Oryza sativa Japonica Group: one gene and its partner. The main gene of each other region encodes a partner of the protein of the gene in region 2 in a complex. Links are inferred from orthologs where the notes say so. Each region holds a gene or a part of one and is shown on either strand. Other genes may lie near its edges.

What was found.
Region 1: the proteins of acyl carrier protein 1, mitochondrial (region 2) and NADH dehydrogenase [ubiquinone] 1 beta subcomplex subunit 9 are in contact, whole or in part, in a cryo-EM structure (PDB 8BEH), measured with the Arabidopsis thaliana proteins. The link is inferred for Oryza sativa Japonica Group from reciprocal best matches to the Arabidopsis thaliana genes MTACP-1 and CIB22. Residues at the interface, in NP_181990.1 of Arabidopsis thaliana: Asp78, Ser79, Leu80, Asp81, Val83, Glu84, Val86, Met87, Glu90, Glu91, Lys94, Leu95, Glu96, Ile97, Asp99, Lys100, Ala102, Asp103, His118, Met120; in NP_567970.1 of Arabidopsis thaliana: Glu18, Arg21, Ile22, Tyr24, Arg25, Arg26, Leu28, Lys29, Leu32, Arg38, Phe41, Arg49, Phe52, Asn53, Tyr84, Ile85, Val86, Pro87, Trp88, Ala89.

What each region holds. Positions count from the first base shown.
Region 1 is NC_089040.1:31,147,710-31,151,878, forward strand, and holds NADH dehydrogenase [ubiquinone] 1 beta subcomplex subunit 9, read right to left. Parts: upstream 2,810-4,169; 5' UTR 2,717-2,809; coding exon 2,591-2,716; intron 2,503-2,590; coding exon 2,461-2,502; intron 2,335-2,460; coding exon 2,253-2,334; intron 1,552-2,252; coding exon 1,496-1,551; intron 804-1,495; coding exon 768-803; 3' UTR 483-767; downstream 1-482. UniProt on the Arabidopsis thaliana protein: Accessory subunit of the mitochondrial membrane respiratory chain NADH dehydrogenase (Complex I), that is believed to be not involved in catalysis. Complex I functions in the transfer of electrons from NADH to the respiratory chain.
Region 2 is NC_089041.1:6,877,077-6,879,791, reverse strand, and holds acyl carrier protein 1, mitochondrial, read right to left. Parts: upstream 1,281-2,715; 5' UTR 1,199-1,280; coding exon 980-1,198; intron 904-979; coding exon 727-903; 3' UTR 515-726; downstream 1-514. UniProt on the Arabidopsis thaliana protein: Carrier of the growing fatty acid chain in fatty acid biosynthesis. May be involved in the synthesis of short and medium chain fatty acids.

The DNA.
Region 1 (4,169 bases), on a different chromosome or scaffold from region 2:
GCTTGCGTCTACTCCTCCCTCTTCTTCTCCCCCTCTCCGTCGACTGCTTTGCTTCGCTTTGGTTTAACGAGAAACTAACGGGGCTTGGGTCAGACTGACAGGTGGGGTCCGAGTAGTGGTGGGACCCGGTCCTCAGTGAGAGTGGGTTACACTGACAGGTGGGGTCGGAAAGAGTGGTGGGACCCAGTCGTCAGTGAGGGAGTTTTGCCGTCGCTTCGGTTTCGTGAAGAGGAAGAGGAGCGTCGCCGCCCGCCACGAAGGTTAAGTAGGTAGACGGTGGAGATCGCTTGTGCCGCCGCGTGCGCTGCATCGGGGCAACCGTTGGATCCGTGCCTTCCAAGACTCGGAATCGCAACAGTTGGATTCAGGACGAACCGTTTAGGGATAGAGAAAAATTCACAAGGATTTCATACGAATACAAACATTTGCGCCATTTTTAACGGATAATAAAAAGGCAACGGCCCAGAGTTGTGACGCCACGCTGACAACCAAATGCAAGTAGGTTGGATGGATCAATCGAACGTAACACATTAAGCAGTTTATGCTTGACTGAAAGATAAATGATGCATAGGCATAGCGATGTGTATGTAACAACAATGCACTAGCTGATGGAAAAACGAAACAAAAGGGTGACAGACCAGTGGCTTCGTTCTTATTGATCATACAACATGTCGATTGCACGTTATCAACTGGAAAAAGGGAAATTAAGTTGTTTGCACCCTGGAGGTGCTAAGTTCTGCTCCTAGATGCAGCAGGGCTCCTGTTCATCAGTCTTCTTTTCCATAGTTGTAGATAATCTCGATCTGCAGGAGTCATATAATCACCTTATAAACTGATTGCGACACTTTGATGCACGAAACACAAAATCAAAGGAAAACAATGTGACAGCAGCAAAACCGGAACAAGTATGGCAGCAAGTAAATCCTTATTCATAAAGCTAAAATGCATCGCAAACTGCACAGAATTTGCTTCTTTTCACATATGTTTATCCATAAAACTAAAATTTGCATACTATTCACATATGCTTGTCAAGTTTTGACTGAAGCATACATGCCATATAAGTAATTTGGATACAACTGGAACAAAATACTCTCTGGTAGTACCAAAAGAATAAAAATTGAGCTAGTAAAGTGGATGGTGACTAAGAGAATGCAGCACCAAAACCAGAACAGGCAACTTAACTAACCATACAGTTTGTGGCAGTTACCTCTTTATTAATCAGTTTATAGTCACACATCTAAAAGCATAAAATAAGATTTAGAACAAAGAGTTATGTGTTTCGACAAACAGAGATGTACTCCAATGTGGACTAATGTTTGAATTAAGGTGATCTAAATCTGCTGAGTAATTTTGTTAAACATTTAGATACAAATCTCCAAGAAAACCATTATAAATGACAAGCACTACATCAATTTCTACTAAGGACAAGCAAATATTGGACGAGGAAAAGGAGTCAGGCATGATAAGATAAAAAATTATGAATTTATGTTCTTACCCCTTTAGGTGGAGGAGGGTTTCTTGTGAATTTACTGCCACCAGGAGCCCATGGGACTGCAGAGATTCGAACAAGCATATAAGAACCCCACCTTATTGATCACATCATCAAGGGCATCATAATATGCCTAAAACATACTACTAACTCCTAAGGGAAGTTTGAATATCTCTAGTACAAGGCAGTAGTGTTTACAGCAACGGTGAATACAAAGTCAGTCTGATTTGTGAGATTCACATATCAGCTCATTGCACCAGTAGTCCAGTACATTGACTTGAAACTAGCAATACATCTCAGAAACAGCTGCAGCCTTTTAGTCCCAACTCCCAAGCAAGTTGGGGTAATCTTAAACAATATAGGTAGAAATAACTATGAGCTGAATGGTGATTTGGCATTGCCATTTGAAAGATAATAATCTGTAAGGCAGTTACTTTATAGAAGCAAATCTGTATGGCACCGCATACTTATCAGCAGGGATGTTCATATATGGTTCCAGTGAAACCGTGTAATCACATCAGTGGCAACGCTAATCACTAGCTACTTTTGCTTAAGTTTGTTTTGGAAGGTTTCTTACAAATCATAGTTGAACACCCCTACTTATCTTGTACCCATTTTAAGAGTTCTGAAGCCTTGAAAGTAAAAAATTAAACGCCAAACCAAACAGAAATGCTACCATCCTACATGACTTAACAAGAGAAATTCGGCTTGAAAGAGAGGTTTCGGCAGTGAAAGCAAAATTCTCCAGCATTTCAGAGCTTACCAATGTAGGGATCGGGATGCTGGAAATTCCTGTACTGCGCTTCCGCATCATCGATAAGCCTATCGATCACATCCGGGTTGTCCTGCAATTCCCCTCACAAAATCAAACACACAAAAAACCATTCGTAAACTACAACTCGCGAGTTCATTTCGCGACACAACACAACAAGCGGAGGCGGAGATGCGGGAAGCGGAAACGGAGGCGTTACCACATCTCTGTTCGCCTCGAACTTCTCCCTGAGATCCGACGCCTGCGAGGGAGGGGGGAGGAACACGAGGTCAGATCCGCGAGCACGGGGGGAGCAGATCGGAAAGGGGGGAGAGGAGAGGAGAGCTCACGTCCTGGTAGAAGAGGTGGCGGTGGACGGCCCAGTTGAGGGTGTCCTTGAGGGCGCGGCGGTAGAGCAGCCGCACCCTCTCCTTCTGCGCCGCCCGCCGCGCCAGGAACCCCGCCGACGTCGCCATCGCCGCCGCCGCCGCCGCCGCTTGCTTCCTCTTCTCTCTCCTCTCCGATGGTGTGGTGGGATTCGGATGCGGAGGAGAGGAGACCCAACTGACAGGTGGCCCAAGCGGAGGAGGGTGGATACTGGCTAGCAAGGCCTTGATGGGCTAGGCCTTTTGTATAGTAGTGGGCTGGGCTTTAGCACACAGGGTATTATTGTAGTTGGGCCAATTTTTGATGGATTTGGGCTTCTACTAATCTGGTAAGGACCTCATTGTAAACCACTTGTATTTTCCTTTATTTTTTTATCTTTTCTTACATTTGTGGGTATCCTAGCGAAATCCGTAAATATTTTTCTGCTCCCTCCATTTCATATTACAAGTCACTTTGATTTTTTTCCTATTTAAATATGTTTATGTTTGACCAAGTTTATGAAAAAAAATATTGTAACAGTTCTAATACAAAACAAACATGTTCTCAACATATATTCAATGAAACATTCTAAAAAAAACATATATTCAATGTACCACAAGCTGATCCTTGGTATTGCCTGGCCTCTATTCAAAATAAACAAATTCTCCAATGACATTGAGCTACTAATACTAAGCAATTTCTTCAGACAGAAATTCTCAAGAAAAAGAGGAGAAAAGAACTCATATGAGAGTAAAGCTGTGTTCGCTATGGGTTGTTCCCAACTTGGAACAGTAGCATGGAAAACGGAGCGATCCATTAGCGCGTGATTAATTAAGTATTAGCTATTTTTTTCAAAAATGGATTAATTTGATTTTTTTAAGCAACTTTTGTATAGAAACCACTGGTGGAGAAACCCTTTGTAGTCCCGGTTCGTAACCCCCCTTTAGTCCCGGTTTCCAAACCGGGAGTACCAATCCGGGACTAAAGATCGCTATCTTTAGTCCCGGGTGAAATAACCGGGAGTAAAGATCGATCTTTAGTCCCGGTTGGTGTTACCAACCGGGACTAAAGCTAGAGCTGACCTTTTTTTTTTGCATGCCCCTGGTGCTGCATGGTTTATATATATATATATATATATATATATATATATATATATATATATATATATATATATATATATATATATATATATATATATATATATATATATATATATAAACCATGCATATATATGTTTCAATACATATATATGCATACATATATATATGTATTTATACATATATATGTTATGCAAATGCATATGTATATAGATATATATATGAACAAAATATATTTACATTATAGAAAATGTGTACACATGCATATAGAAACATATGTAGTCATGTATTAATTACAATCCATTATATGTCCTAGCTAGCTACGGTTTCGACGTAGTAGTACTCGCTGCTAGCTCAGAAGCTAAGGACCAGTGAATTGTGTTTCCGTCGTAGTAGAATTCACCCTTGGGATCAAGGATTTCTTCGTTGATGAATCCCATGAGTTGTTCTTGAACCGCCGCGATAA
Region 2 (2,715 bases):
TGGCACTGGATGGTAGGGAAAATGCAAGTACAAACTTGAGTATCTGCCGTGTTCACTTCACATCATAAGCTTGTCTTGAACTGGATTTGAGGGTTACGCGATTAAATGGGGTGTCTTAAACTCAATTTTATTTTCGGATGCAAGAAATGCAATACATTTGAATAGCCTAACCATAATTTGGTCACATAAAACCAAATTGAAAACTACTAAAATGGGGGAAACAAAAGGTAGCATACATTTTTCACGAAACTACTGAGATGTCCCACATCCTACATTATTTCCTACAATAACCGAGCCATGATTCTTTTAGCAGCCTGCTTGGTCTCCATATGCATAAGCAGATGGAAGAGAACTGTTAAAAGAAAATGCAACACTATGTTGTTAAAGAATGAAATTTGCACATACAGATCTTGCAACAAACTGGAGCAAGTTTGTGCACCACAAAACTAGTTCATCAACAACAGCACATCCCAAAACTATTTAACAACAACGGCACATCCGACATGATGAACAATTGAGCAAAAGAGCAAGAATCTAGCATCATATTGTCACAAAACCGAAATTGTGGATGTTACATTAGAGATCGACATCGATGGCAACATAACACATAATCTAGAGTACCAGGGACAAGTTTTCCTGAACCACTCCAGCAAAATTATTCATCCCCCGCAGAACAAAAATAGTAAATCAAGAAAAGCCTCACCACGGCACGACGGATCGGTGAGGTCAGGCGGCCATGGGGTGGTTGGCGACGTACTCGATGGCGAGCGGGAGGGAGTCGATCTTGTCGGCCTCCTGGTCGGGGATCTCGAGCTTGAACTCCTCCTCGATCGCCATCACCACCTCCACCGTGTCCAGGCTGTCCAGCCCCAGATCCTTCTCGAAGTGCGCCTCGGGACTCACCTGCCAACAACAAGCTAGGGTTAGGGTTCGGATGGCGACGGCGGCGGCGTGGATTCGAGCTGCGGGCTGGTTGTACCTTGGAGGGGTCAACCTTGGGGTGGCACTTGAGGACGTCGAGGAGGCGGTCGACGACCTCGTCGCGGGTGAGGTGGGCGTCGTGGGAGGACATGGGCCGCGCGAGCCACCGCGCCAGGGCGTGGGGCTGGGACGCCGCCGCGGCCCCCGCAGCCGCCGCAGGGGAGGGGGAGAGGCGGATGCGGCGGAGGATCGCCGGTCGGAGCGCCGCCGCCGCCATTCTCTCTCTCTTGGGGCGATTCGGATTTGAGTCGGCCGCCGGAATCGAGGAGGATGAGCCGATGAGGTCGCCGTGTGCTGGTGTGTGAGTGTTTCTCTCTGATCTTACTTTAGAGGACTAATCGAGTTGCTGGGCCGTTTGATTGCAAATCAACGGCGCAGATTAATCGAGTTGGAACTTTTTTTTAATTACTCCAACCATCCTATTTTAAACGCAGTTATGAGTTTCCATGTCAAATTTTGATTAAAAACACATAAGTCACGCATAAAGTACTATTCATGTTTTATCATCTAACAATAACAAAAATACTAATCATAAAAATTTTTTAAAGAATAAATTGCGTTGGCGGTACAAGAACTTGGCAGGTGGGTGCGATTAGGTGTAAAAACTTGAAAATCAAGCATAGCAGTACAATAACTTGGTTAGGTGGGTGCGCTCATGGTGCAAAAGTAGCCATGTAAAAAAAATTACCACGTTGCTATTCCACCTTAGCAAAATTGCCACATCAGCTTTGATATGAAAGACCTATCTCATTTTATAGAAAACCACAAATAGCTTTTTTTTTTGTTCCAATCACATTTCCTTTTTAACTCGACAATCAGAACAAACGAATGCATATCTCCTTCCATTTTTCTCGACGTGTTCCTAATTGAGAGGCGGCTGCGGTGGTGGCGATGGCGGCGCAGCGATGGTGGCGGCGGCAGTGACGACGACAACGAGGGAAACCGTTACATCGCAGCGGCGGCGAGGGCTTCGTGTGCCACATTAATTCAAGCACTAAACCAGTAACCAAACCAATTCAAGCCGACAATTTGCTCCTAGCTTGTTATGGTAAATCACTTGCTGATGGTTGTAGATTTCTATTTTTCGTTCATTTGATGGATGATTTCAAAGTTAAGGTTTTATTGATCTGTACAATGGCTGCATTTTTTTGGGTTTTCACTTGAATATCCTGTTATTTGTTATTACAATTCAATGAAGTGATCTAATGGTACTAGCCACTAGATTGGTTTTACTGTAATTATTGGTGTTTCCTATAACTGTATATGATATAAGAGAAACATTGGCAATGAGAAATTCTTGCTAGATGTGTTGTACCCTTTTCAGTAGATATAATTAGTTGAATAATCTGCAAATAATATTATTTTCCTTATGCGGTATAACACATCAACCAATTATTTTGTATTGCAGGTCATGAGGAAGAAGAATTCACAATTGAACTGTATCGTGGTGGGTTTTTTTTTTGGAGTTGGCAGTAGCAGAATTTATTTGGATGAGAAGATGGACTGGTTTGATCATTGTGATACAGGAGGAAAACAGATATATCTGAAGAAGTAATTGGAATACAAAAGTTATTAGGGACTTTTCTGTAAAATGAGATGGTCAATGCATGCTCATGTGGCACTTTCGCTGAGGTGGAACAATGGCGTAGCAACTTTTGCACCATGAGCGCACCCACCTAGCCAAGTTATTGTACCGCTATACTCGGTTTTTAAGTTTTTGCACCTAATCGCATC